4 linked regions of the Alligator mississippiensis genome follow. The protein of the gene in region 1 interacts with the protein of each later gene in a pairwise test. Links are inferred from orthologs where the notes say so. Each region holds a gene or a part of one and is shown in the gene's direction. Other genes may lie near its edges. The genes, in order: TFIP11, KIFC3, TXLNA and ZGPAT.

The links.
Region 2: the proteins of TFIP11 (region 1) and KIFC3 interact in binary tests that used the Homo sapiens proteins (3 or more experiments, as listed by UniProt). The link is inferred for Alligator mississippiensis from reciprocal best matches to the Homo sapiens genes TFIP11 and KIFC3.
Region 3: the proteins of TFIP11 (region 1) and TXLNA interact in binary tests that used the Homo sapiens proteins (3 or more experiments, as listed by UniProt). The two-hybrid records come from large-scale screens. The link is inferred for Alligator mississippiensis from reciprocal best matches to the Homo sapiens genes TFIP11 and TXLNA.
Region 4: the proteins of TFIP11 (region 1) and ZGPAT interact in binary tests that used the Homo sapiens proteins (3 or more experiments, as listed by UniProt). The two-hybrid records come from large-scale screens. The link is inferred for Alligator mississippiensis from reciprocal best matches to the Homo sapiens genes TFIP11 and ZGPAT.

The regions. Positions count from the first base shown.
Region 1 is NC_081833.1:1,409,745-1,417,086, forward strand, and holds the start of TFIP11 (tuftelin-interacting protein 11), read left to right. Parts: upstream 1-4,325; 5' UTR 4,326-4,429; intron 4,430-4,608; 5' UTR 4,609-4,614; coding exon 4,615-4,811; intron 4,812-6,878; coding exon 6,879-7,035; intron 7,036-7,342. Other genes in the region: TPST2 (protein-tyrosine sulfotransferase 2), read left to right, coding at 1-384, 1,329-1,527, 1,907-1,957, 2,416-2,454. UniProt on the Homo sapiens protein: Involved in pre-mRNA splicing, specifically in spliceosome disassembly during late-stage splicing events. Intron turnover seems to proceed through reactions in two lariat-intron associated complexes termed Intron Large (IL) and Intron Small (IS).
Region 2 is NC_081833.1:38,415,544-38,422,495, reverse strand, and holds the start of KIFC3 (kinesin-like protein KIFC3), read left to right. Parts: upstream 1-3,941; 5' UTR 3,942-4,057; intron 4,058-5,428; 5' UTR 5,429-5,546; intron 5,547-5,625; exon of another isoform or gene 5,626-5,946; intron 5,947-6,952. UniProt on the Homo sapiens protein: Minus-end microtubule-dependent motor protein. Involved in apically targeted transport. Required for zonula adherens maintenance.
Region 3 is NC_081829.1:5,547,929-5,555,358, forward strand, and holds the start of TXLNA (alpha-taxilin), read left to right. Parts: upstream 1-4,423; 5' UTR 4,424-4,617; intron 4,618-4,893; 5' UTR 4,894-4,925; coding exon 4,926-5,118; intron 5,119-6,045; coding exon 6,046-6,381; intron 6,382-7,363; coding exon 7,364-7,430. UniProt on the Homo sapiens protein: May be involved in intracellular vesicle traffic and potentially in calcium-dependent exocytosis in neuroendocrine cells.
Region 4 is NC_081832.1:2,435,962-2,443,662, forward strand, and holds the start of ZGPAT (zinc finger CCCH-type with G patch domain-containing protein), read left to right. Parts: upstream 1-4,695; 5' UTR 4,696-4,784; exon of another isoform or gene 4,785-4,803; intron 4,804-5,326; 5' UTR 5,327-5,490; coding exon 5,491-6,143; intron 6,144-6,755; coding exon 6,756-6,889; intron 6,890-7,701. Other genes in the region: ARFRP1 (ADP-ribosylation factor-related protein 1), read right to left, coding at 614-695, 1,691-1,773, 2,273-2,360, 3,296-3,388. UniProt on the Homo sapiens protein: Transcription repressor that specifically binds the 5'-GGAG[GA]A[GA]A-3' consensus sequence. Represses transcription by recruiting the chromatin multiprotein complex NuRD to target promoters.

The DNA.
Region 1 (7,342 bases):
CTACCTCTGCAACAAAGACCCCTTCACCCTCAAGTCCTCCGTCTACCTCTCCCGCCTCTTCCCCAACTCCAAGTTCCTGCTGATGGTGCGGGACGGCCGGGCCTCCGTGCACTCCATGATCACGCGCAAGGTCACCATCGCCGGCTTCGACCTCAGCAGCTACCGGGACTGCCTGACCAAGTGGAACAAGGCCATCGAGGTCATGTACTCCCAGTGCCAGGAGATCGGGCGCTCCCGCTGCCTGCCCGTTTACTACGAGCAGCTGGTGCTGCACCCGGAGCAGTCCCTGCAGGCCATCATGCAGTTCCTGGGCATCGCCTGGAGCGATGCCATGCTGCACCACGAGGACCTGATCGGGAAGCCTGGCGGTGTCTCCCTGTCCAAGTGAGTCCCTGCAGCTAGAGATGAGGTTATGCCTGCACCCTTAGCAGGGGGCTGCCGTGACCTGGCTGTTGCAACCTGGCTGCAGCCAACTGGGAAGGGGAGGAGCCCGTCTCAATCATCCCCTGATTGTGAAATAAAGCATCTTGTGCACCCGAGTGCATGCATACACACACACACGCACGTGTGTGCATACGTGTGCACTCCCTCGCTGTGCTCCAGAGAGCTGCTGTCTGCAGCCGCTGGAACGCTCCCTCCCGCTGCGGGTTGTTAGTTCTCACCTGCTCCAGCCAGCACTGACCGTAGCCCGTGGGGACTGGCCGGGAGGTCTCTGCGCCTGTTCCCTTCTGGCTCTGGGCATCCAACATGGGCTGCACCTGTTCCCAGCGAAGCCTGCGCAGGGGTGCTTCCAAGCTTGGCATTTTTTAGCCCAACCAGGGTCCTCCCACCCGGCGCTGCATGGGCCACGACTCAAGCTGGTGATGCCTGAAGCAGCGTTTTTGGCGTGTTAGATATTTAGGGTGTGGTGTCCTCAGTCCCAATGGGCATGGTGCTGAATCCCTCCTGCGGGGTGGAGACAGAAAACCACTGAAAGGTTGCACGAACGATGGGCCCTAGGCAGGGATCGGAGGTCCCACCAAGCAGGGTGGGACGTGTGGCTCCTGCTCCCAGGGCTGGCCCAGCTCCAGGCCTGTAGCTGCGCTGCCATGTAGCCGGTCTGTAGTAAAGCCCTCCTGCGGGGCAAGCCTGGCTAGGGGCTGGGGCAGGGCAGCCCCCCATGAGATGCATCCATGTCCCTGAGCTCCGTCACGGCCTCTCGTGAAGCTTCAGGTCTCTTGTTTTTGAGCAAGTCCTCCCAGGGGATGCAGAGCCCACTAGTCTAGCAGGACACAGACCCCAGCCCGCTCCAGCATCCCGGTGAGTGAGTGCCTGACCTTTTCCCCCAGGATCGAGAGGTCCACGGACCAGGTCATCAAGCCTGTGAACTTGGAGGCGCTGTCCAAGTGGATCGGGCACATCCCAGGCGACGTGGTGCAGGACATGGCCCACATCGCGCCCATGCTGGCCAGGTTGGGCTACGACCCCTACGCCAACCCCCCCAACTACGGCAGCCCGGACCCCCTGGTGATCAACAACACGCACCGGGTGAGTGCGGGGTCCCCTGCGCGGGGTGGGGCGGGCTGCGGTCGGGCTTGGGGCCACGAAGGACTGGAGACAACAAGAGCCAGGTGAAAGGCTGAGACTTTAATGCGCTTTCCTAAGTCCCTGGGGGGAGAAGGGGTCTCGGCTGGCCAGGATCCAGGCAGCTGGGGGCAAACCCTGCATCTTGGCTGAACTAGCCCTGCCACCACGCCAGCTGTTGGCCTCGGGGACGCACTCCAGGTGCCCCGTGTTAAACTGCTGGTGCTCGTGTCTGGCGTGGGCGCCCAGGGATGAGCCGGGTGGTGACCGAGGCAGAGAGGGGCGGTGAGTAGCCCCCAGCCCAAGGCCACGGGGAGTCACTCCGGCTTTGCTTCTCTTGCAGGTCCTGAAGGGAGATTTCAAAGTGCCGGCTAATCTGAAAGGGCATCTGCAGGTAAGAGCCGGCGGCAACGAGAGCGCTGTGGGTGGGTGTGCCGCGCGCCGTGCAGGCAGCAGCTCCATGCTGGCAGCTGCTAGGAGAAGCCCCTTGTCAATCCTGCTTGCATCTCTTCCCCCTCTGCCACGCGGATTGCAGCCTCCCAACCCTCCGAATCCTTTTGCCGTGCCCAGCCTGCATGCTAACCCCGCTGCCACCCCTCCAGCACTGCCCTCGCTCGCAGCTCTGGGCTTGCCTTCGCGAGTCTGCATTCATCCCCCCCACCCTGCTGTCCCAAAACCTGTGCTGTGCCCACACGACCGTGCTGTGGTCAGGACCCGAGCTGGCACGGGGATCTCTGTGCGGTGCTGGTTCCTGCCCCGTGGACCACTGGCATCCCCTGGTTGTCTCGCTTTGTCGGTGCAGAGGGGCTGTCTGGGGCCGAGCTAACTCTCGTCTGTCTTGGGTTGTTCCAGGTGCCTCAGAACACGTCGGAGCCTCACTCGCTGACTTAATGATTTCCAGGTAAGGGGTTGTGCTCCGGGTGTAATTGTGCTTCCTCCCGGTGTGCAACATGCACTAAGATCTCTTCCCTGGGGGCACCTGCATGCTGCAGCCTTCAGAGACTTCAGCAACATTAGAAACGTCTTGCATGTGGGATTGATGGGGCTTGGGTCAGCACCAAGTAGGGAGAGGTGATGTCCAGGTCTTGGATCTCGCTAACAAGGTGCTTGAAGTAGCTGTGGGTTTGAAGAGTGGACCCCGCGGTCACTATGTTCAGCGTCTCATCCCTAACGCTTCGCGTCTCTTCTGTTTCAGGAGGCTGCACGTGGCCTTTCAGCGTCCAGCAGAGAAGACAGTTTGCAGTTGCAAAAGTGGAAATCTGTTATCCAAGCATATTGCTTGCTAATATTGCCAAAATAGGACTGCTACACAAGGAATGTATTTGCATTTATTTGCAAAGGCCAAACATGACACACATCGGATACCAGTTGTCTACCTTCTCTGAATGCTCTGTGGTAAAGAGGAAAATCCTGGGAGACGAGTTTCCTGGCTGGAACTTCAGAGCGCGTTGGAAAGAGATTCGCCCATTCGGTTACTTGAGGACTTTTTAAAGTTGTATTTAAAACTGTCTCGTCATTCTGTTCTTCTGTTTGCAAACCGGGAATAGGTGTCGATAACCTCGTAGAGCATTGGTCGTACAAGTGACAATCGGAGACCTGCCTTCTGTCGTTCCTTCACTTGTAATTTACAGAATCTATTTAAAAATTAATATATGAGGCCATCTGTTTCATTCCTGGCTCCGCTCCGTTCATTTCCTGCGGTGATTAAACACTGTTTCCAGACGAAAGGGCGTGTCATCATCGTTTGCGCTAATGATGCGAGGAAGGGCGTTCGCGGGCTGGAACGAAGGGCTGCGGACACGGGAAGGATGCGGGGCCCGTGGGTGCGTGGGAGGGCCTGGGGGCTCTGACATGGGTGGCAGACAGACCTGCCAGCCTGGGGCAGGTGCTTCAACCCCGCGGATGTGCCGTCGCTGACCCGAGGGGTGCAGTTCTCCAGCAGCAAGTGTTTAAATACCGATTTGAATGAGAAACGGTGGCATGAGGAATCCCTCCCTCCCCCTTCACAGTGCTGGGGAAGTGAGCTACAGCTGAAAGCTTGTGCTGTGTGCGTGTGTGTGTGCGGGCAGTCGTTTTGGGCGGAGGGCTGCTTACTGAGGCTTGGCAAGCCATCGAGGGCTGCACCGACAGGCAGCCAGGGAAGATAAAAAATTTAGAAAATCAATATTTAGGGGCCCGGCAGACCGTGTTTTGCCCACCCCGATACGTGTGTGTGCATATGCATAGTGTGTGTGGGTACATGCGTAATGTGTATGTGTACGCGATACATGTTTATGTGTGTGTGCATACGTAATCATAGTGTGCGTGCATGCATGTCATGTGTGCATGTATGTAATATGTGCATATGCATAATGTGCGTGTGTACACAATAGGGGTGTGTGTGTGCATGCATAATCATAGTGTGCATATGCATATAGTGTGTGTGTACATGCGTGTGCATGTATGCAGCGTGTGTACACGTCATGTCCGTGTGTTCATAATGAGTGTGTATACATGTGTAGGCTTAATTCATGTGTGAGTGTATACATCGTGCGTGCATACATACACCGGGTGGGTGTACATATGTGCATTTACCTGTGTGTGTAGATACATAATGCACGTGTGTGTGAAGTTAGAGAGAAAAAGTGTGTGTGTGTGTGGGGGGGGGGGTGCAGACCTCCCAGCCTCCACCCCACCCTCCCAACCATAGAGAAGTCCGCCGAGGCGGACAGCCGGCCGTGCCGCTCTGCCCCACCCCCTCACTCTATGCTCCGCGGCGCGGGCTTCCGGGCAGGCGCTGGCGCATGCGCTCGCGACCCCGGAAGGACATCCGGCCGCTTCCTGCTTCCGGTACAAGCTGTAGCTCCGCTTCCTGGTTCGGGGAGCGGTGAGTGCTGGGGGGGGGGCGGGTTTGGGGGAGAAGAGGTGAGTGGGGGAGGGGCTGGGGGAATGGGGTGGGGGGAAGGGCTGGGAAGGAAAAGGGGTCGGGGGGGCAGGAGTGGGGGTGCCTGCACCTGCCTCTCTGGCCCCCCCGCCACCAGCTCTGATGCCGGCGCGCCCCGGCAGGCCGCCATGTCCATGTCGCACCTGTACGGGCAGGATGAGGAGGGCGAGGTGGAGATGGAGAGCTTCGAGATCACGGACTGGGACCTGCAGAACGAGTTCAACCCCAACCGCCAGCGGCACCGGCAGACCAAGGAGGAGGCCACCTACGGCATCTGGGCCGAGCGCGACTCCGACGACGAGCGGCCCAGCTTCGGCGGCAAGCGGTACGGGCGGCTCCTCGCTGCTCGCGGGGTGACCGGAGCCGTCGTCTCCGAGCAGATCTTCGCTGGCCGCCGTCCACGGGCTCGACTCGTTTGGGGCCGGCGTGGTCTGCTTGGTGTTCCCTTCCCGATCCCTCGTTGTTAGCTCGTGACCGCGCTCCTTTCCTTGCTTGCTGCTTATTTGTCCCCCAAAGTCGGTTATGTTTCCAGTTGCCCCCGCTTTTAAGGGAGGTTTCTAGTGTTTCCTTGTGAGTGTAAGCCCGCACGTCCCCCACGGCGTAACAAACAGGGCCTTGTCAGGCAGCAGACGCTGAACGGGAGAGTGAACAGGGGAGGACCAGGGGTTTTTCCCTCCCTGTTCCTCTCCCCCCTGCAGCCGCCAGCATTTAAGGTCTAGGAAGGTCTGATTCAGGGGTTGTATCCCTCACTCCCATATTCAACAGCTACTGACGCCCCTTTCCTCCAGGAATGTCCCCCAGCCCGTTTTGAATTCGCTTCTGGTGGCGACAAGTTCCACGCTTCAGTGACATGTTGGGTGAAAACATTTTGTTTTGTTCTTTCTAAACTTAATGCCTACTCGTTTCATTTTGTGACCCCTAGCTTTTGTATCGTGAGAGAGAGTAGATAATAAATCCCCCTCCCCCTCTGCGCGACACTGGTCAGGCCGCAGCTGGAGTACTGCGTCCAGTTCTGGGCGCCGCACGTCAGGAGGGATGTGGACAGCATGGAGAGGGTCCAGAGGAGGCCACCCACATGATCCGGGGACAGCAGGGCAGGCCCTACAATGAGAGGCTATGGGACCTGAACCTGTTCAGCCTCCACAAGAGAAGGCTGAGGGGGGACCTGGTGACCGTCTGTAAACTCCCTAGGGGGGACCAGAAGAGTTTGGGGGAGACCTTGTTTCCCCGAGCGCCCCCCCGGGATAACAAGGAATAACGGCCACAAGTTGTTGGAGAGTAGGTTCAGATTAGACATCCGTAGGAACTACTTCACAGTCAGGGTGGCTAGGATCTGGAACCAACTTCCAAGGGAAGTGGTGCTGGCTCCTACCCTGGGGGGCTTTAAGAAGCAGCTCGATGCCTACCTGGCTGGGGTCACTTAAGCCCAGTTTCCCTCCTGCCCAGGCAGGGGTCGGACTCGAAGATCTACAAGGTCCCTTCCGACCTGACTTCTGTGATTCTATGAATCCCTATTGGCTTTCACTTTGGCATTTAGTTGTAAACCCTTGTCCTGTGCTCCCCTTTAGGGTTTCTCTTTCTAAACTGAACAGGCTTGGCCTCTTTAGTATCTCCTTACACAGAAGCCCCTCCATAGCTCTCAACATCCTTGCTGCCTGTGTCTGGACCTTTTCTAGTTTTTCTGCATCCTTTTGTGGTGTGGGGACCAGAACTGGGCGCAGCATTCAAGGTGCAGCATGGACTTATAAAGAGCATTCAACATGCACCATGGATTTATAAAGAGACATGATGATACTTTCAGTTCCGTTAATAATTCCCTTAATAAAGTAACTCCATCCTCTCCCTGCTGGCCTGAAAGGAACCGCGGGAGAGTTCTCTCGTCAGCCCCGGGGGTTCTGCGACTTAAGTCTTGTGTCACCACCAGGGAGCCATTGGCAACATGACACCTAGAGCGTAGTGCAGAAAGGTGCTCTCTCAAGCACGTAGAGGTGGTAAACGACGTGCTGGCTGTGGTTTGTGTAAGAGAAGGGAGGGATTGGAATCTCATACAGGGTTTTTCAAAAGCTACATAACCTGGGTTGTCCATACATGGTGTTCACTTCCCTCAGCAGTTGGCTTAGTGCCTAGGTAGAGTTTGGGATAGAGATGATTGTTTTTCAAGGCTGAAGTTTGCTAAAACAAAAAATGCGAGGTCCTTTTCAGAACGCAGATTTTCCTTCATAAATTCAAACTTCCTGCATTTCAAATACCGGCTTTGTAGCTCCATATCGTAACATTAAGAGGGAACTGCTTGCGAGGGTGTCTCTGACTGTGTTCCAGCTGCTGCCCCAGTGGAAGAGCTCTGACGCACGCAGTTCTAAAAATGCCTCTTTAACGTGATTTCCTTATACAGATCTCGAGACTACTCAGCCCCTGTCAATTTTATCAGCGCCGGGCTGCGAAAGCCTGCAGCAGAGGAGGAGGTGGAAGATGACTCGGACGAGGATGATGAGAAACCTATTAAGCAGGAAGAATTGCCCAAGGAGGTTGTACCAAAGAAGTTAAAAACGGTGAGTTATTCTTAAAATGAGCAACCCTGTTAAAGATGTTCGTGTAGCCCCCGTCACAGGAGCATCTAGGTGTTAGGATATTAAATCAGCAGATGAAAAAAAGAATGATGCTGTCATGCTGCCCACAGGTCTGTGATTTCATCCTCTGCTGTGGAGGCAGTTTCCCCTCACTTTTGTGCATTTGATGGGTTGATGGGCCTTCCTGGCCCTTGCAAGGTTTGCCCCTTTGTGAGTGTTCTTGCAGAGGAGATTGAAGTTATAACAAATTAAGGGGCTGCATTTTGTTTCCATCCTTTCAGCTGTAAAT
Region 2 (6,952 bases), about 37 Mb from region 1:
GGTAAAGACAGCAATGATGAGGCACAGGAGAACCAGGTCAACTGTATGCTGATGGGCAGGGCTGTCTCGGGGGGGCAAATCAGGGCAACCACCCCAGGACCTGTGCTTTGGGGGGCCCTGCAGAGCTGGGCAGAGCGGCAGCTCCCCACCCACCTGCTCGCTATCCCCCACCCTGAACTGCTGATGCCGGCAGTGTCTTTGGGCCTGGGGCTCATGGGATCGGAGCGGGAGCAGGGCCCCACATGGCCTGATTTGCCCCAGGCCCTGCACCTTGCTTGGGTCAGCTCTGCTGATGGGTATGGTTTTGAGGCTGGATTCATCATGGCTGACTGAAAGCAGCTGCAGGGCAGGTGTGTGGATCCCATAGGGAATTTGCCTGGTACAGGAGCTCCTGACTCCAGGCACGGAGCCAGCTTTCTCAGCTCTGCACAGTCCTATGCCAAAGTCCTAGAAGGTGAGGGACAGTGTTGAGTGGTAGACTAGAAGCAGGAAGGAGGCTGGAAGGCAGGAGTAAGAATTACCTACATTGCAGCAGTTCTCTTTTATTGTAAACTCCCCTGGGGTCAATGCAGCAGGGACATGATACAGGGCTGCCCTATACAAGGAGCTGCATTGGCTCTTGCAGCCACTGAGCAAGGGAACTAAAAGTAAGCTTGGCTCTGCCCTGCAGCAGAGAGAAAATCTATCCTGGTTGTTCAAAAAAAGAACAAATGTTCTCTTTGCCCTTTCAGGGCACATGGCTATATGTCTTTTCTCTCTTCGTTTTCCTCAGTGCCTTTTCCACTGGTGTCCATTGTACTTCTCAACAGCAAAAGTTAAAAGGGAGAAGAGGAAGGGTGGGAACCACATTCCTCTAAGGCAGGGGTGGGCAAAATGCGGCCCGAGGGCTGGATGCAGCCCACCAAGCCATTCTATCCGGCCCACAGGGCCCCTAAAAAATTTAGAAAATTAATATTTATCTGCCCTGGGTTGCCTGTCATGTGGCCCGCGATGGCTTGCTAAAACTCAGTAAGAGGCCCTCTGTCCAAAATAATTGCCCACCCCTGCTCTAAGGTCAGATTTATGCTATAAACTTTTGCTATGTTGGTCAGGAGTCTGATGAGATCTGATTTGTGACCAAATTGCCACACTACAAGGGCAAGTGTAGATGCAGTTATACTGGTAAAACTGGATTTTACCAACAGCTTATTTCTCTTTCTGGAAGGGTAAGGAGCTATAAACTAAGCCATCAAAAAGCATGGTTTTGCACATGGGTGACTGGTGCCTCCTGAGTTTGGTAGGGGCACCAGCAAGCTGATCACTGGTGGCAAAACTGGAAGTGTTGCTGGCACTTTTCTCAGTGCCCCAACTCCCCGGCTGGCACCAATCTCCCAATCTTGGGGGGGACACCAGCTGGTGCGTTTCTTGGCGCCCCCACTCCCCAGTCAGTGAGGGCCAATCTTAGGGGTTGCATATGCTTCCTCGTGTTCCCCCTACACATTGCCTATGAGTATAAGCTGTGTCAGATATACTATCCCAGCAAAGCAGGATAGTTATACTGGCAAAGTTAGCTAAAAGTAGACCTGCCTTTAGTAAATTACTAGTTCCAGGGATTTTTTTCTAAGCCACCTGCAATGCATTACTTATGTTGTAATTGTAGGAAGAAACTACATGAATGTTATTTTAAAGTCACTTTTTGCCCCTCTACAAGCAAATGTAGAACTAGTAATTTATTACTCCTGCAATTTGTGGAAAAGGGAAGGACTAGTATGTGGTTAAAGTATAGGACTGGGAATAGGCTCTTTGGATTTTACTTTCAACTCTGCTATAAACATGTGATGACACATGCATCACTATTCCCCTTTCTTTTGCATTTGCTTCCCCATCTGAATCTATAAAATAGGTATTTGGTCTTGCTTAAGGTTGGCAAAATGCCTTGAGATTCTCAGATCTAAGGTGCCATCGATGTGCAAAGTATTGCAATGTATTGGGTCATTGTCAAGTAAAAAGTATACTGTGTTAAAAATCCCTCATCTGTTTTACTTACTAATTTGAGATTGTGAAAAATTCAGATGCTTGGACTAGGGTTGGCAAGATGGTCATTTGACTGATTAAACATTGTCAACTGACCAGTCAACTGACTACATATTTTTGACCCATCAAAGATTATAGCAATTTTACATCCCCCCCCCACACTTTTGTAGCTTTTTTGACAGAAATATGATTTTTTACAATTGGATCTTTTTTTACACATTTCTTAATGGAAAATTTGTGCATTTCTGTGTGTTATTTGGACCTATTAGCAATTTTTTTTACAATTTTTGACTGATATTTGACTGGTCAGTTGACTGAACTTTATTTGATCCGTCAAATACCCACCCTACCATGCATGGCTATCCTGAGTAAGTAAAACAGTTGACAGGGAGTAAGGCATACCTGTTTGTTTTGTTGGTTTTTTGCTCTCTTGGGGAATAAAGAGAGTGAAAGGAATAAGACTTGTGGGGAAATACATAGTTTCGCGGGAGCTCTGCAGGTTGAGTTTTGCTGGGAGCTGTTGACTTCAGCAGATTTGACTTTTGGAATGTGCATCAGAGAGGCACTTAGTGACAGGCAATGGGGTTTTCTGGCTACCTGTATAAAGCAAAATGATAATCAAATGCAGAGTAGCCTACCCTGGCTGCCGCACACTGGAACCATAGAACCCATGGGCAGATCTAGAATTTTGGAAAGCGAGGCAGAGATGGTGACATTCACCATAACATATAAAACAACACACATTTTCTTCCAGGTAAAAATATACAGGAAGCTCTACTAATATGCTGAAGGCCCCTAGGGCTATGTTATTTAGTTTAAGAATGAACAAAAAACACACAACTTCATTGGAAGGAGCCCAGAACCATCTGCAGTGCTGTGGAAAAGGGGCTTCCTTATATGGAGCAGCTAACAGACAAGGGAATAAAAGGATGGCTTGATGGGTGGAACATCAAGACAATTAAAAAGAGAGGGTGGTTAACACTGGGCTGAGAAGGGATCAGGTAGATAATGAGCCAGGAAGTCAACTGGCTCCCTCAGCACCAGGCGACTAGAAATGCTGCTGCCACTGCCAGGCAGCTGGTTTTAAACTCTGGGTTTAGCAGGAATCAAGGGAGGGGGGGGAGTTGCAACTGCACCAGTGCAGCACCCTCCTAGACCCCCAGACGCATAGGGTTGGCAGGGACCTGTGGGGGTCCTCTGAGCTGATGACAAGGAGTATTTTAAAATAATAAAAAAACAATAAGGATACTCCCACAGACAATCTTTCTTTGAGAGGTAAAGCATTTAGTAACAGCTCTCTGCCTTGGGTGTCGAGCTGCAGGAACAGAAGGAGCTCGAAGCTGCCTCCGGGAGGCCGCTCTTCAGTTTTCACTCGGTCTTCGGCTAGGGAAGAGCAAGGCTGAAGGCAGCCATGTTTCCGCTGCAGACCCAAGGGCCCTAGCGCTGGGCTTTTGTTTTTTAGCACTGAGCGTGGCTTCCTTTTTGAGACCTCTGTGTTCCCCTTGTGCCTCGCCTTTGCCCCCCTCGCAGCGCGGGGCGCCTCTGAAGGGGTCTCGGGGCACCCGCGGGCGAGGGTATTGCGCGGGGGGTCTTTCAAGTAACACTGGTGCATTATTAGAGCCTCTCAGCACGTGCGGCTGCGGCCGGGGCACAGCACAGCGGAGGCAGGAGGGCGCGTGCCGCGGTGGCCGCCAACGCCCAGGGACACGGGACCGGCAGTGGCCCCGGCCCGGCCCGGCCCGGCCCAGTCCGCCCGGGGGTGCGGTGCGGTGCGGTGCGGTGCGGCCGAGCGGTGGCTGCGCTGCGAGAAGCGGGTCGCCATAGCAACCGGCAGCGACTGGAGTCAGTCGTTTCCTGTGGAAAAGTGTCCGTGGGGGGAGCCGTCCCGCCCCGCCCCGCCCGGCTCGGCGCGGCGCTGACAGCGGGAGAAGGGGGCGGCTACGGCCGGGCGACCCGCGCGGCATCAGCCGCCGCCTCCCGCCCCAGCCGCGGCGGCGGGATCGCGGCCGCCGCCCTGCTCTCCGGCCCGGCCCCGCGGGCACAGGTCGGTGCGGTGCGGTGCGGTGCGGTGCGGGACGGGACGGGGCGGGGCGGTAGCAGGGGCGTTCCCCGCCCGGACAGTTCTCCTCATAGCCACTGCGCTGCCCCTGCCCGGGAGGTGTGGCAGTGCCTAGGTACCCGCCAGCCTGGCTTGGTCTCCGCTAGTTTGGGAGGCCTGGAGCAGAGCGCAGGGCTGCGGTGACCCCTTCTTTCATCTGATGCCCTTCATGCCGCCCCCCCCTTGCCAAGCCCCAGGCCTGTTTCTGTAGCTGTTCTGTTTGGCGGGTTCATCTTCAGGGCCGGGTCCCTCCTTCCACCCAGCGTTTGGGTTTAGAGGCAGAACAAAGCCTCCAGGCAGGGGCTGGGGGCACTAGGTGTCCAGGGCTGGTTCCCGGGTGCTTTCTCCACAGGGGACCCAGTGGGCAAGCTGCACAGGACACAGGTGGGCATGCTGGCAGTGTGCATTGATCCTGAGCCATCCCACTGAGGCCGGATACGAGTAAACCCTGCCAGTCCTTCATCATCAACCAGAGAATTTAAAAAGGGCTGTGCAGTGGGTGAAGCAGTCCTTCCCCGGCTGAGCGAGACTGGGGGCTAAAGAGGTCTGAGCATCTAAGGGCAGCTGCACCTCTTCGTGGATAAGACTTCTCTCTCGCTGACTCCCCTGCCTTCTTCCAACCTCTGTAGTGTTCGTTCTGTAGCCTGGCCTGATAATGCTCTGATTAAAGACACATAAGGCCAGCACCAAGTCAGATCACCAGCATCAAATGAGATTTAAATTGCAAGCATGTAAATTAGAGGGTATTCTGCTGAAGAGGAAACCAGTGCAAGATGCTCTCTCTGAATTACAACTGCATATTTTCAGTTGATTTATTTGTATTGTGATAACTCTTGAAGGCCTCTGCCAGGATCACAGCATAGTGTGGTAGAGAGCAGAGCTGGTAAAAGCCTGATGTTTGTTTCTTGGTCCTTGTGCTTGGTGATGCGCAGATTCGTAGGAAGGCTGCTGGTTCATCTTGTCATAGGAACACGCTCCCTCCCCAACCCAGGGGCAGTGGATGATCTCTGCCCTGAATAACTCATGATCTAAGAAGTTATTAAACCAAATTTTAGTAGTGAAAGAAGCTGGAAATAAGAGAGGAATTACTGGGTGAATGATGAGCACAGTGTGTGTAAAATCTGTTTTTCAGTATTTCTTGTAATAAATCCCTAGCATTAAATCTGGATAGTTGCAAGATGGTTTGGGGTTAGGGTTGAGTTTGCGGCACTGCTGTTTGCATAACCTGCTGGAGTATTTCACCTTGGACTGTTACCTTTCTTCAGCTGGTATTTGATCCAGTACTGACCCCAAACCTTTCTTTGCACTGATTCCCAGGCCCTGAGGTGCCGGTCTGCTTGGGAACCCTATGCCATGATTACATCTTGCGAGACCTGGGATTGGAGACTCAATCTCTCAGAGAGAGACCTGTGGAAAAAGGACCTCCCTCTAGACGGTGAGTATCATGCAATGGCTCATCCTCCTTCCATGCCCGGCCCACTCCTGCTCCTGCCCTTTCTCACACTCTGGCAAGGAGAGACTTGAAAACCAGTGAGTCCACATTTCTGACATTGTTTTTCAGATGTCAGAGATGAAACTAAGATTTGGGGAAACTGATTCCCATACAAATGTAGGCTGTTAGGTAACAACAGGATTCAGCTGATAAAGGTGCTGCTGTGCTGAGGGTGCTGCCCTCTCTTCTAATGAGAAGCCTTGGGAGAAAAGTTAAATTTTAACACGTGAAAGAAATGATTATCTGTGATTTGTACAACAAAAAAACACGTGGCTTCTGGTCGTCCTTCATCTCGGCTCCTTGGAAGGGTGTGTTGTCTCCCAACCGCATATAAACCAAATAGGTAAGTTTAGTTTTTGTGTGGTGTTCCACAGGGACTGAAATGTTTTCAAAAAGCAGCTGAAAGAACTGAAAGCTGCTTGTTGAAACCTGCCGCTGCTTGTCTGGGGTTCCACACAGCTAGCGCTGTTGTCTCATGCTAGTCTCGGACTTCAGGGTCACTGTGGGGCTAAATGCTAATGCCAGGCTTCTGGAAGAGATATTTTTGATGGGAAACTTACTGTTTGCTCTGATATTTTAAGTTCTTAAGCTTTGGCAGTAGCTTATCTGACAGTTGTACCTGCTTTGATATAGAAAGGTTGTTTTAACTCTTGCCGACCATAAAAATATGTTTGAGAGGCAGGGCAGTTGCGGGGGTGGAGGGGTTGAAAATGCATTTTTTCTCATTTCCTCACTGACCTTTCTGCATTCCTTTGGTATTAGGTGGACAGGATGGTGGGTATTGAGGAACAGAAAGGTGGAGAGTGGATGTTGTGTGTGATTAAAATCTGGCTATGTCCTGCTTGGTGCTGAAATAATAAGGCATACTATTTGCATATACACATCACTAGTCATCCTACGATCCACAAGTTCTTTTGAAAACATTAGTTCTTTTTCACTGTATGAAATATCATTGTTCCTATATACAGACAGTTAAAGAAACATAGTGAGAGATGAAGTGATTTAGCAGAAATTATCCATCTGTCTCTGCCCTTACAGCTTTTGTCACCTTTAGTCTCTTGAGTGCTTTTCAATTACAGTATTTAAAAACCAAAACTGTAACAAGAGTCTCTCTCTGTTACTTTCCCAATTACAAAATAAATTACTTTGATTAATTGATGGTAGGGGGTTGTGTATTCATGATGGAGATGAACTGATCAAGGAAAATCTAAATCAAAGAGAGAGTTTTGCATTTAGTTCTGAACGTTTTATTTATTTATTTTCCAGAAACTGGTTCCGAAGTGCAGGTTTTGTTCCTCTCACTTACAAGTTTTCCTCTGCTGGCTGGTGTATTAATTGTCTGAATGCGA
Region 3 (7,430 bases), on another chromosome or scaffold:
TGAAATGAGCCGATGGTTGGTTTAAAAAAAAAAAAAAAAAGGCACCAAGTAGCCCATCTCCCACTCTTCTTGCCTTCTCCCTGCAAGGCAGGATTAACCCTGATGAAAATTTGCTAGCGCCTGTCTTTTGCTGCTCCTTGACTAACTGGCAGGCTTGCTATTGTGTTCCAGCACCACTGTCTTTTCCTTTCTGGCATCCAGGCTTCCATCTCTGGTGGCCAATACAGATGTTATAAATGATGCATCTGTTGCCACCTGGCAATCTTTTCTTCTTCCAGCTAAACTTGGGAGAAGGGCATCACCTTTTTTGCTCTCTTGTGAATTGCAACTCTGGGTTTGGGGCTGGGGAACAGGCTTGGCTTTGAGAAAGCTGTTCCTTGCAGAGTGCAGGAGAACCTGACCTGCATAGCAACCTTTGTTGGTTCTTGGCATCACTTTAGGTGAGCCTTCCCCAGGCCCCAAGGTCCCTGTTTGGGGGTGTGCCATTTGATAGAGATATGTATATTTTTTTAACATTCACTTTTTTCCTGTGTTCAAACTACTTCAGTTTCATTTTCTTGGCTCACACAAGTGCCATGTGGATCTAGAAGAGGTGTTGAGGCTCAGCCATACATCTTATGGATCTGCTTTGAACAATCACTTTTATCAGTATTTCACTGCCATGCAATGGTGGCACTAGACTATGCTAACACATTCAGTTGACCTCAATGCTACTTGGGTGCTGTCAGCAACCTGAGCATCTTAAATCCTCTATTTCTACTGGCTTTTTTTATTTCAAATGTATATCCTCTGGGGCTGCTAGCCTGTAGTTGCTTGCTGGCACTTTCCAGGCTGTCTTGCCCCTACATAGACCATGATGCTCAATTCTGTAACTCTTTCAGGTAAATACATATGGTACCCAGTGGATGCTTGATATCAAGTCTGGCTTCATCATTCAGCTAGCAGAGGGACTTTTGACCACTGGGGCTGGTGAGGTTGTCTTTTTTTTCCTCCTGTTACCTAGAGGAAAAAGCTCTGTAACCCAGAGAGAAGGCTGTACGGGCATAGAAGATACTGGGGGTTGCTTGAGGATCCTTCCTCAAACTGATGCATTGTTTTTCCAACTAAGTGCTTTTGTTGTTGGCGCTCTAGTATTTAATACTTGACCATGGCAGAAAACAGACAATTGCACCTCCTTGAAGCGTTTGATTAAAGCTTAATCTGTACAAACGATGCTGGGTCCCTTGCCTTGGTTTCCTGCCATGATCTCTTCTGCACGTGTCATAACTTGAAGGACTCTTGAGTTTTAGTTCTCAAATCCTGCCTCAGCCTCTCCTCTTCAACAGTTCCTCAGACAGCACAGCCTTTTTTCCCAGCAGTTGTTGGCTTTGCCTGACATTCTGGCAGTCCAGTCTGCATTCGTGAATGTTCGGGCCTTCTTTACAAGGGGTGGCAATGACCACTACAGCCACTGTGTTTTGAACTGAGTCCCAAAATGTGATGGGATTATAACACTATAGCTGTCAAACTTTGAAAGATATAGTGAGGCAAAGGTCTAGGCATAAGGACTAATCTGAATTTTGCCATTTGTCCTAGATTTAGACCAGTCTGGCTTTAATTTGATCCCATATTAACCTACGTTAGGGAAAGCCATGCTAGTATGGTGCACTTATCAACAAAATACTTCTCTTGATTGGTCTTCAAAGGAATTTGAGTTGGGAAATTGGAAGACTCAGTGCTGCTTGGTAGGAACCATTCTGCCCTTTGACTAATGCAGCAAGTGAAGGTTTTTCCTCCCTGAAGTTTTGTCAGCTTGTCTTGGGATGTACGTGCTGCAATCTTTCTGTCTGTTTGCTATTCTAGAAGCACAGCAGCCCGTGTGCAGTAATGCAAAGCAGTCCTAGCACTGAGCTTGCACTCTTGATGGCAGTCTCCTTCTGAAAATGTAATTGCATCTGGCTGTCATCTAAGTGATGAGTGGGGTGGCTGGGGTTAGAGGCTGCTGATTCATACGAGAGCAGTCCCTTTGGACTGACTCATGAAGAGCCATTTAAGTGCACAACATCCCAGACTACTTGCGTCTCCAACTGTGCATGTTGGAAACCACTAGAATTTAGCCTAGAGCTCTGAATAGCTTTCATCTTCTGGCCCTTTGTAAAGCTGAGTCATAATTAGTATCAAAGACTAGGTTTGGGTCTAAGATTTCTTTCTTTAGCACATGGAGTGGGGTGTTTCATTCCCTAGGTTTAGCACAGGGTTTCAGCTTGGATCCAGGAGGGTTCACATCACACCCCCCCTCTCCCCAATCCATTAAGATTTGACCCTTGTTCTTGTCCCATACAATACAGATCACTGTATTCAGAATATGCAGTTGCTGTTGGCAAAAGAGCTGGTGCAGTAACTTCAAGAGACCCTTCCCTGTGAAGCGGGCTGAGCCCTTTGTTGAAGGACAACCTGTAAGCGATAGTAGAACTTAGATGTGCAGTAATATTTGGGTTCTTGCTTTCCTCATTGTCTATGCAATTGGTGTGGGAATAAATGAAGGGTAACTCATCAACAGCATAGGGCCTTTCATCAACAGTCTGTTTTCCAGACCAATCTGGTGAAATATTTTTCTTTTTTCTTTTCTTTTCTTTTTTTTTTTTTTTTAAATAAGAATGGGACTTTTGCAAACAGTGCTGTGGCCGTTGGCAAACTGTGAATTGGGATTTTCTTTTGGGGGGGAGGGGGAGGGGTGGAAACCAGATCAGACCAGTAGCTACTGTAACACTGGCTAGAAAAAGATTCACTGAAGTGTGAATGGCGCTTTGGAAACCTTTTGTCTCCTGGATCCTTCACAGAAAAGAAGCTGGAGACTTGTCCTTTTTTTGTGTTTTTTTTTTTTTTTTTTTTTTTTTTTAAGAAGCAACCAGTTACAAACCCCATGAATGGTACTTATGTACTTATATTCTGTTACGTAAGTGCATGTCAGAGCATTAAACCACACATGGCCACACCCTGGAGTGGAGCTGGTGAGAGATTCTTTTTTTAAGTTTATTTTTCATTTACTAACCAGCTCATGTATGGGTTGCATTATAGAGCTGCGAGCACGTGTGGCAAAAGCAAGGGCAGTGGTAAGTTGTGGTTGCGGTACAGCGTTCAGACACCTGAATGCAGGACTTCCTGTAGCCACTGCAGTATCTTAAGGCTTTTTTTTTTTTTCTTCTTCTCCGAGTAAGGATTTTTTTTTATTTATTTATTTTTTTTAAATGAAGCCAAATACTATGGTTCTCTTCAGTGAGTCCCCCTTTAAAGCTACGGCATAGCTGTACCATGGTGGATTGAGAGGATGCCCACCCGACTCTAGAACAGACTAGCCGGCTTGATATGGAGTTGAAAGTGTGTTTCTCTTAGGTTTCCAACACTGTAACAGATGCAACATAAATAAAGAACCTGTTCCACAATCCCGGATACTGGGCGACTCTGGATTCTTTTATGAAACTTTGGGCATCGCCCCTGTGCCAGCGGGGGCCCGGGCTAAAGCCTGTCTATGTACACGGGGAACTTACCTGGGAATGGATTGGCAGAGGTGTGTGTGATTAATGTCCAAACAGAAGGGGTGAAACAGGCCTCGGCCTCTGCTTTCTTTAAACCTAAGCAGTAGCTGTACATGCCGGTCCTTCGTGCCAATAAACCGCAGTGTCCAGCTAGTGGGCTGCTCCCGCCGTCTCCGGCCCCACGGGGAAGGGATAAGTCCAATAACGCCGCCATCTTCAGACCCTCCCTTCCTTCCCCCAGCCCAGCCAAGCTTCGACCCTATCCCGCCTCGCTGTAGCTATGCAGAGGGAACGCTGCATACGTTTTATTTAATTTATTGGATTTAATGGGAGCGGCTCCACAGCTTTCCTGCGCGGGCCCTGGGGCAGGTGTTCATGTGAGAGCAGGATCCTGTAGAAGCCAGCTCCCACCTGGGTCCACGTTAAGCACTGATGATGTGGCAGGTGGGCTCTGCAGAGCTGCTCGGTTGTTTTTGGTACTGTGAGCTGAGTGCACCCGTGCCTGGACTCCAGGCTTTGTGTGATGTATGTAACGTGTGCCAGGCTGGTGCCATGCAGGCCTAGAGCTTGTTCAACAGGCTCTGCCTGCCTCCAGCTGTTGCCCCTGGTTCCCTGCCACGGGCCACGTCCTCCTGCTTAGCTGAGAACAGGGAGCTGCCCCTGCCCCAGAAGCTGCAGTGTGGGCCCCGGGGCCTGCTGGGAGCTGTAGTGCCGCCCTGTTTCCGGGGCACGCCGGGAGCTGTAGTGTTGCCGTGCCGCGGAGAACGCCGGGAGCTGTAGTGCGGCGCTGCCGCGGGGCCCGCCGGGAGTTGTAGTCGCGTCCTCCCGCCTCAACTGCCGCCTCCAACCGGCGTTTCCCGGCAGGCGCCGCGCGGCTTCGCGCGCGGATTGGCTGGCGGCGGGGCCGGCGCATGCGCACTCCACACACGCTCCGCGGCCCGGGCCGGAGCCGCTTCTCCGTCAGCTACGAACCGCGCCTAGGAAGCGGGGCCGCCGGGCGGGGGACGAGCTGTGGCGGCCTAGGAAGGGAGCGGGGCCCCTCGCTCGCTGGTTGACCGAACCCGGAGAGCCACGTCACACCTCGGGCCGGTGACGTCACGGGGTGCGTGTGTGATGTCACCGCGGCGCGGGGCCCGCAGCCCTGCGCGGGGGGTTGGGGATTGCAGCCGTTGGTGGGGGAGGGGAGGGGAAGGGGGGGTGCAGCTGGTGGGGGAGGGCCCCGGTGGCACCCCTCCCCCCCCGGGGCCCTGCGACGCGGGCACTCGGCCACGCTGGGGGGGGGGCCGGGGTGTCCCTGCGGCCGCCCCGGGCCCGGGCAGGCTGGGCACGGCCGCCCGAGTCCCGGGCGCGAAGGCAGCGGGTGCTCCTCTCTCCACAGGGCGCGTCGACACGGCGGGGAGAAGAGCCGCGATGAAGAACCAGGGCGGGGAGACCAAAGCCGTGGCGGCCCCGGCGAGCCCCTCCAAAGCCGGCGGTAGCGGCCTGGCGCCCGCCGAGGACGACTCGCCGGAGGCTGCTCCGCCCGCCGACGCCGGGGACTCGGCAGGCCAGCCCGACGGCAGTGCCGAGAGCCCGGCCAGCGAGACGCGGGAGAAGATGGAGGGTGCGTTTCTGCTCGGGCGGGCGGGCGGGCGGGCATCGTAGCTAACTCCTGTTTCCCCGTGTCAGGGAGGGATTAGGGTCAGGTTTGTGCATCCTAGGACATCCCGGACTACTGGCTGCATGCCTGGGATACGGGGGGAGACGGAGTCTCGTCCGGCTGTTGAGTGATTTTACTGTTATTGAGTTACTTATTACTCAAAGCCCTGGGACCTTCTGCACAAAGCTCCCCGTCTGCTCCTCTGTCCAGTCGTGTGAGCTGCCCCCGCCCTGAGCCAGGGCATCTGCCCCTCTCTCGGCGCGGTAAAGGTTACCCCTCCGCCCGGGGAAGCCCTGTCGAGTCAGCTCAGTGCTCGGTTGAATCGAGGCCTGCCTCCTGCTCCGATGGCTAGCAAACGCGGGATCTGATGAGTCACGTTAACTTAATAGCTGAAGATCCATTTGCCAACGGCTGCCAGTCCTCAGGAGATCTGGTCTGAGCTGTGTTGATGTCCGCTGTCAAGGCAGCACGTAGCGGCTGTCTCTGACCTACGTCCGATCCCAGATCATTAGTATTATTAAAATGTCAGGCCGGGGGGCGTACATTACCAGGCTGTGCCTGCGAAGGAAAACCGCTGCTGCGCTTGTTTCCATCAAGCAAGTGGAAGTTTTGCCACCGACAGATTTTGGCAGCCTGGTCATGCCACCAAGATGAAAAGAGGGTGGTGCATCTCTGCGGTCAGGGCAGCTGCACAGTGATACAGATGTTCCCCGACGTCGGAACAAAGCGGCTGATGCAGCTGGAAGTGGAGCTGGCGCTGGGAAGGGCTGTTACGTGCTTAGGAAGCTCTTCCCCTTCTCTGCTTGTAGGGGGTTGGCAGAGGCATGCTTAGAGGATGGGGATTGTGAGGGTAGGTGTCACATGCTCGTTCTCTTCTCCCATCTCCCGCAGCTTCTGGACAGGAGGAAGCAAAGGGCTCCCAGCCTGCCATCTGTGATGTCTCTGAGGAGTTGAGCAGGCAACTGGAGGACATCCTCAACACGTACTGCGTGGATGCCAGCCAGGAGGGCCCCGGGGATGACGGGGGGCAGAACGAGCCTGCAGAGCCTGATGAGGCAGAGAAGTGCCGGAGCGAATCTCCACGCAACGGGGAGCAGGAGCCAGGCTGCCCAGAAATTAACGGGGAGAAGGAGGGCTCGAAGGGGCCCGAGGAGTTCCGGACCGGTGACGAGTGTGGGGAGCGGGACCAGAAACGGACCCAGGAGAAGAAGAAAGCCAAGGGGCTTGGTAGGGGCTCTGACCTCAGGGTCAGCCAGCCTGGGGGACGGGGCATTTCACCTCTGCTGGTTTAGCAGCTAAATCCAGGGGGACAGGGCTCCTACCCAGTCCCTGCATGATAGCATCCATGTCTGTGTACACATCCCCTATGGTGAAGCCACAGACCAGTGCTAAAAATTCTGTGTTCCCTTAGTACCAGGGTGGATGTGTACAGCAGCGTGCACACACAGAGTGAAGCTTGTCCCCCTGCTTTCTGTAGGTGCCTGCTCTATGCAATAAAAGGGTGCAGGTCAGATCCTGCCAAATAAAGACTGCCAATACTTCTTGCGCTTGATTATGCAAGTACAGTAAATTGCATTATGTATGTGTTGGCAATGAAGGATATTTCTGGACATCCGCCCAGACAGGGTTAGCATGTAGAGCGAGTGTTCAGTTGCCTGTCTAATTTGCACCTACGTGGCATGACTCTAACATGGAGTTGTACGTGAAATTGCCTGCTAAGCCTCTTTTCCCTGCCATGGTTGGGGAGGGGGTGGTTAGAGAGTAGGCATGGATGTGGGAGTCCAGGACGTCTGGAGTTCTTTGCCCAGCTGCCCATGTAACCTGGTGCAGGTAGCACACAGACCACTTGCCCTGCCTTCTCACTGGGTCTCTGCTGATCTCCCTCACTGTTATATGAGCACCTCAGCTCTAACATAATTATCCTCACTAATCCTGTATGGATGGAGAGTGAAGGCACAAAGACTTAGTGGCTTGCCGTGGGTTACCCAGGAAGTTGGTGGTGTCTCAGGGAGTTTAACCCAGGTTTATTGAGTCCATTGTCCAAGAAGACCACTTCAGCCACCGTCTTAGTCACCCAAGGCACAAATGTCTTCGGGAAACTTTTACTAGCTGCTTGCCTCAGGGCAGGGGTTCTGCTCAGGCTCCGCCTCTATGCCTTGGGACTGGGAGCTCTGTCTGAAATGGATTTTTGCTTTGTCCTGTGTTCCAGGCAAGGAGATCACACTGCTGATGCAGACACTGAACACACTGAGCACCCCGGAGGAGAAGCTGGCGGC
Region 4 (7,701 bases), on another chromosome or scaffold:
CTTTATACTTGAGCAAGTACATGCAGCACACAAGGTGAATTGACAGGGCTAGCCAACTGGGAGCCCACGAGCTTCATCCAGCCTGTGGGTTCCCACTCGACCACCACTCCCTCCATTATTTCTGTTGACACAGCAGGTCTTTGGAGGACAGCAGCATGGCAAAAGGCCCTATAAGCTTGTTGCCTATGCAGCATGGGGTAGGGGAGATTGTGCTGCCACTTGGTAGTGGCAAGGGAGTGAGCTCATGAGGCAGTGATGGGGGTGGGGTTGCCCAAATAGCAATGGTGGTACCAGGAGAGGAGGGAAAGCAGGCTCGTGCTGCTTGCGCAGTGGGGAAGGGAGGGGGAACCCTATCTGAGCAGCAGGGGTTCTGGAAACCTACATAGGGCATGGCCCCTGCAGCATGCTGCCTGCGCAATGTGTAGCCCAGGGCTCATGATCAGTGTGGCATGTGGACCCTGGCAACCCTGAAGCTAGAGCCTGGAGGTACAGATGCATGGTGATACAGGTAACAGAGCTGCAGAAACAAACTTGACTGAAATAATAGTTAAATTCCATAACATACATAGCCAACATCAGTAACAGAAACACAAAACCCAGAAAACATACTCACCAAAAGCTCTTTTAGATTCTGACAGTCTCTCCTCATCCGTGGAATCGATAATATAGATGACCCCATGGGATTCAGCATAGTACTGAAATCATAGTAGAGGTCAACGTCTAATGCTTAGAGCAGTTTGCTTCTCTTCCTATTTTTTACGTGAATTCTGTAAAGTTTCTGATACACATGGAAAAGTCTGACTGAGATCAAACCACTAGTGTCAGGCATGTTGTGAACAGTTTCGCAGATCTCTGTGGACAGAGTTGGTAACTGTTCCTCTATCCCAATGATTCACTATTTGCCATAGTGGGCCACGCTTGCAGCTTTCAATGTGGCACGTGGACTGCTCCCACACAACTTACTTCCTGTGTATCCATTTAACAAGATGTCACATGGGCCGCAGCAGTGTGCTGATTGGGCCGCATGAGGCCTGTGGGTGGAGAACCACTGCTCTATCCAGACAGGTAAGATACGTTATTAGCTCTTCCTGATAACTAGAATTCAGCAGCAATCTCAGTCTGTAAGTCTCCTTATTATTCCATTGCCAAAGACCCTTGTAACCAGAGTCTGGCAGGGGCGTTCAATTGCTTGGCTGTTTTCTGATTTGCGCACTTGGGCTACACAGATGCATGGAATTCCTTTAAAGTGTCAGAAAAGAAACCTAAGCAGTGACCTCCCTGACACCATCTTTAACAGTCGCAGCCAGGATGCAGTGGCTTTTAAAGTCTAGGGCAATACATGCTAATCAAGCTGTTTGTTAAATATCAGCGTGGAGCAGGCAGGGATACATTTACTATCAGACAAGTACAACCAACAGTACTAGTGGCTCAGGTGGCCGTTTCCTCCATTTGTTATAAAAAGATGCTAATTCTGTTACCTGCTCTCCCCTGAGGGCTGAGAGACTTGATCAATTAGGGTTGTAAAGCGCTGTGAAAGGCTTAAGTAATGCTATTGATCTCTCAAACAGATTAATTGCACAGGGATCAGTGCTATATATCAGGGTTCACCAAGAACCCTGTAGAGTCACCTCGTTTCCCCGCAACTCTAAAGAAACACAGAACCCTGGAATATAAAAGTTACTTCCTCTACCTTGTCCCAGAGAGACTGCAACTCGTCCTGCCCTCCAAGATCCCAGAACATTAGCCGGACTTTGCCCACATCAATAGTGCCAACTAGAGGAGGGAAAGCAACAAAAATATTCAATGAATACTTTGATCATCCTCTAAAGCAGCTTAACATATGCACACAAAATGAAAGGACAAATGAAAAGTTCATCTAGAAAAAAAAATGACACTCTATTTCATCGGTATTTCTCAACATGATAGCCACAACTAACATTAGTATAATTTCACCTTTCTATAAAGTAAATAAAAACAGTCAGTGAAGCTATGCCAGTTTAAATGAGATCTGAATCAGGTCTACTAATTTCAGTGGAGCTGTAGGACTGAATTGGCTTAGGTATGGTAAAACATGACATTCGTTCCTTCAGATTCAGCAAGTTTTTGCCATCTGCTCTTAAAAGAATGCATGAAGAACTGGGAGGTGATGGAAGTATCTCTGTTAACACGCACTATTTTCACTGTGTAACCTTTTCCTAAATACTTCAAGAAAAGATCAATTTCATGCAACTTTGCAGGAAGGGAAAAAGAGCCTCCAAACCAATTCACTTACTGTTTAAGCCTACAGTAGTCGTAATTTTGGATAAGCTCATCCCCTTGTAGTTCCTGTTAAATCGGATTTTAGTTTGCTCAAGGAAGGTCTGAAAGGATAAAGAAAAACTAGTTACTGTCACGTACTTTATTGGTAAGGGTGATTCTATCCAGATCTGCCTTCCCCCTACTAGAAACCATCAGGATTCTCCATGAAATCTTAGAATACAGGCAGTCCTTAGACTTACGACACAACTGGTTCCTGAAAACCACATCTTAAGTCAAAACGTTGCAACTCGGAACCGATTTTCCCATAGGAAGCGATGTTATAAATGGGGGATTCGTTCCTAAACCAAGTCCCAATACCCTATTTTCACCAAAAATACCCCAGAATTTTGTACTTGATCAATTATAGATGAGTAATATAGCTACATTGATGTATTTATATTGTAAATAACAATCCTATTGATTTGGAAGGACTACTTTGAGGAGCCTTTGCTGGACGTTTTGAAGGGCTCTTGGCTGGAGTCTTCTCAGCAGTCCTGGCTGCAGGTTTTTCTGGAGTCTCGTCTGCTTTCTTAAAGAAAGTGTCCAAGGAAGTTTGGACAGATGTTCTCCAGGAGGGTGGGTGACGCAGCAAACTGGTTTGCTGGCGTGGCTTGGCATCAGATCAAGTGTTGTAAAGTCGAAACCGTCAGAAAGTTGAAACAGCGTGTCAATTTATAAACGTAAGTGCGGTTCGTTGCAACTAGAAACGCTGTAAGTTGAGGACGGCCTGTATAATACTTGCCTTGTTTTCCCTGTCATACCACAGAACCCCACACGCGTTCCCAGGTGATTATGTGCTTATCAAAGCCTCTGCGTGAGTCTGTCTGAAGGCTTACTGCACTAAAATTGGGGGGGGGGGGGGGGGGAATCCATCCTTGACGTTACATCACTGAAGTAACACCAAGGAAGAAACTTGCCTGTACTCCACCTTTGCAGGGGAGGAAAAAGTGGAACTGCACGTGCCATCTAGACAGAGAGAGAAATGAAAAGCACGTACCGTTTTACCAGCATTGTCCAACCCCAGGATCAAGACGCAGTATTCATCTCTCTGGAATATGTACTTATAAAGTCCAGACAGCAGCGTATACATCCTGCTCCTGCAATAAAAAAACAACAAGTCAGATCCTGCCGTACGGTTTTATCTGCTGTTGGTTAATCATACAGGGTTTTCATTCCCGTTCTTAGCAAAGGGAGCGAGCTGGGTTGAAGGCCAAGCGAGACAAAGCGTTGGCTGGGACGATGTGGACGAGGCTGGTCCTGCTTGGAGCAGGGGATGGAGCAAGACTGAGCAACGCGAGCTCAAGCAGTCTCGCTTCTCATGTATTTGGCACCTACGACCGAGGGCCGACCAGCTCTCGCCTGCACCCCGAAAGCGGCCGGCTTTTCACCCGCACCGTGCTGAATCGTTTGAAAATCTTGCCACGTATTTGACCGCCTGAACAGCAGCGGAGCAGTCCCACGCGTACGCAAACCCCTCCACATCCTGGGCTGCCCGTTGCCACGCCAACGCCGGTAACCGCTGCGGGGTCCCTCTCGCCGTGCGCATCAAGGCGCGGCAGGCGATCCGCGCGCGGCTCCGCCGGCGCCCGGCTGCAAGTCGTGGACAACGAGGGCTTCGGGCCAGCCCCGACTGCATCGCCCCAGGCCCGGCTTCATCTACCCGGGTCTTAACCCCATTGTCCGCCCAGTGCCGTTACGCTGAGAAAAACGACCCCCAAAAATGCGTCTTTGTGACGCCTGAAGACGAACGATCGTTATTTCTGCACAAACGCACGCGCTCCGTATGAATCGTAACCGCGGAGCCCGAGATGGGCTTCTTTTTGTCATAATGGAGTGAAAAGGTCCAGATTTTTTTGGTGGTTTTTTTTCCTTATTTCCAGGTATGGTGCGGAGCTGAGGCCTAACCCCGGCGCGGAGCCCCCCGCCCCTCTGGGTCGCTCGCCCGGGGCTGCCCACCCTCCTCGTGGGGCAGTTTCTCCTCATGTCCCGCCCCTTGCCCAGGCACCTGCCGCCAGCGAGAAGCGGCGCCCGCAGCTACGAGGCTCCCGGCGTCGGAGCACAGAAGCCGGCTGCTCACGGCCTCCCCCCGCTGGACCCTTGGAAGCCGGGACAGCGAATGCGCTGGGAGGGGGGGGGGGGGAGGCCCCGACTCCCCTCAGAGCAGGCCCTCCAGTCTCGCCTCACCTCAGCGAAGCCCCGGAGGGGAAGCAACAACCTCCCCGCGGGGCGCGCTGGGAGCTGTAGTCCGCCCGCGGAAAGCGCCCCGGCGGGCACAGCGGGAGCGGGTAGGCGAGCGGACTACAACTCCCGGCGTGCTTCGCGCGCGCAGCTCTTCTTCCCCCTCCTCACCCACCTCACCTCAGGCGCCATTGGAGGAGAGGCGGGAGGACTGCCCTCCCCCGCCAAGATGGCGGGCGGAAGTGACGTCTGACCTGCGGTGCGGAGGAGAGGAAGTCCCGCGGGGGTGTCATGGCGGCGAGGAATGAGTGAGGCCGGTGTCGTGGGGTCAGTTCTGGGCGGGGGGGCAGTCACCATCTCCATGGTTACCAGCCTCCCCCAGCCCCGTTGGTCAACGATCTCCATGGTTACCAGCCCCAGTGGGGTGGGGGGGCAGATGCTGGGTGCCCCATTTGCGGGGATGCTGAGTGGGGCGGGGGGATGGCTTCTTTGTGCCCCCCCAGCAGGCTGGGCTGGGCACGGAGCGGGTCAGGATGCGACCCTGCTGGAGTAACGGGTGGTGAGGGGACGCGGCGTGGGAGCAAAGCCTGGGGGCTAACAGCCGGGCCGCGGGGTGGAAGGGTGCGCGAGGGGGGCTGCCGTCTTCTCCGCGCGTCTCCTCGCGGTGGGATTCTCGGAGCCGGCCGACAAGGCGTCCCGTGCACGGGTGTGCGCGGGCCGGCTCTGCCAGGTCGGCGGTGTGAGACGCGGTCGTGGCGGTCTCCGCCGTGAGCCCCGGGATCGGTCGCGGCGGGGACCTTTCCCGGGCGTCCTGGCGGTAACGCTGCTTTCAAATCTCCGTTCCCTGCAGCGTGATTCGTCCGGTCGCGCCGAAGGGAAGACGACGCGCGATGGCCGAGGAGACCGACGGCTAGTCTGGACAGAGATTCGCTGTCGTCGTCCTTGAGCGTGTGCTGATTTCCCGCCCACCCCCCCAAAAAGGGACCCGGCGAGACGGCTTTATACTTGACAGCGATGGATGAAGAGAGTCTGGAAGCGGCGATTCAAACCTACAATGCCCAGCTGAAGCAGGTCGAGCTGGCTTTAGGGGCAGGGCTGGACCCCTCGCAACAATCTGACTTGATCCAGCTGCAGGAGGATTTAAAACAGCTGATAGAATTGACCGAATCCAGCCTGGTCTCTGTTAAAAAGAGCAAACTATTCGCCACTTTAGACCCTGCTGCTCCCTCCGCCTCTCCAGCAGATCACCTGAAGCAGGACGCTAACCCGGGCAGTTCTTCCTATGATGACGAATATGCTGCTTTTAAAGAAGCTATCGCTGAAGCTGGTGGCAAGGACAGGCCTTCGAGTACTCGGGATGAGGTTTCTCCAAAGAAAGATGGAGAGGCTGACGGGGAAAATGAATCGAAGTACAGTGATGAAGAGGAAGAGTTTGGGAGAGAGGAAGAGGAGGAGGAGGAGGAGGAAATGAGTGGGATGAAGGTTAAAGCCCCATATTACAGTTCCTGGGGCACTCTGGAGTACCACAACGCTATGATTGTGGGGACAGAATATTTGGAAGATGGCAGCGCGGGAGTCAGAGTGCTGTATCTCTATCCAACTCACAAGTCCTTGAAGCCGTGTCCGTTCTTCTTGGACGGGAAATGCAGATTTAAAGAGAATTGTCGGTAAAGAAGCTGATTTCCTTTGTGTTGCTAGATGGTAATTAAAGGCACTGTCAGCTAAGGGGGTAATCTCTGATTTAAACACTTTATCTTATTTGGCTTTTGAAATCTGCCCCAACTTTGCCAAACGGTTTTTTTATGTTTGACAGTGTCGTCCTTTTACTATCCTATGTCAAACAATGAGAGCGTTCCTTCTTCTTCTAACCCAAGGAGAAAATGGAAACTCCTTTAAGTGAAAACTGCAAGGAAGGGGTTAATTCTAATATAATGGACAGCTAAATACATTCTTGCTAATGAGGAAGACAAAACTGGGGGGGGAGGGGGGGAGGAACGGGACACCTCAGTAATTTTGTATGTAGCTCCTGCATTTTGTCCTGAAAGATCTGTTTTGCCACATCTGTTGCTGCAGGTGTTATTGTTGATGACCAGTGAGATGCAGCCACTTCCGAAATGGACTACAACATTTATTTTATGATATTGAAACCATTTGGGGGGATGCACCTTTTTATAATTTCTGGTGTGGATTTAGCAATGCCCATGCCCCTTTGAAGGAAGAAACTTTGTCTAGGCTTATTTTCAGATGAGGGCAGATCTCATCGCTTCTCTTTCTTGCAGGTTTTCCCATGGGCAAGTGGTATTGGTGGAAGAACTTCGTCCATTTGAAGAACCTGACCTCAGTTCTATGGAGGTGGGTTCGGCCTGTTTGGCTAAACATAATGATGGAATATGGTATGCTGCGAAAATCACTGGTGAGTCTTGTTTTAATATATTTTAGCCAGGTTGGAAGGTGACCTGAGGTCCTGTAGTTAAAATAGAAGGATTAAACTCTTCGTGATCAAACAGAACCAAGGAGGGATGTGGGTAAAGTGCAGACCTGGGAGTTTTGAGATGAATAAATTCATCTCCCATCTGTGCCACAAACTTGGGATGCAAGAGATGTTGTGTTGCTTAATTCGCTAATATTTGTAAAGTGCCTTGTGAGCCTGTAAGGGAGGGGCTTTAAAGTAAAAAAGGTGAAGGAGCAAAAGCTGGAAAGTAGGGAAGACTGGAGAAAAGGGGAACAGCAGGCAAAAAAAAAAAAAAAAAGGCATAGAAATGAAAATGTGCATAGAAGAAGGAAAGAATGAATCAGTTAGATGGTCAGTAAATTGTCCTTGTGTCCCTTACCCCCTATTCAGCGTTGTTCAAATATTCTAAGCACCTGGTCAAATACGGAAGTTAGACACTTGGAACAACTCGCTATTGTTTTAAGTGAGCACCAAATTAAACACAGCCAAGAAAATTTGGCCTCTTGCCTGCTCGCTGAGGGGAATGTTAGGCTGAAGTGCTTTAACATGCGAAGTGGGGCCATTTCTTCACTCTCTTTCATCTTGAAGCAGCAGCAGAGGACTGGAGGATGCCTTTAACTTTGCCTGACTTACAGCATTTCTGCAGTGCCCCATACCCATTCTTCATTCTAAGAATAAACAGCTGAGTCTATCTGGGTTTAGCTGGCTATAGATGTGAGTGGCGTTTTTTCCTTTTTTTTAACTAGAAACCCAGCATAGCAAAAGCAGACAGT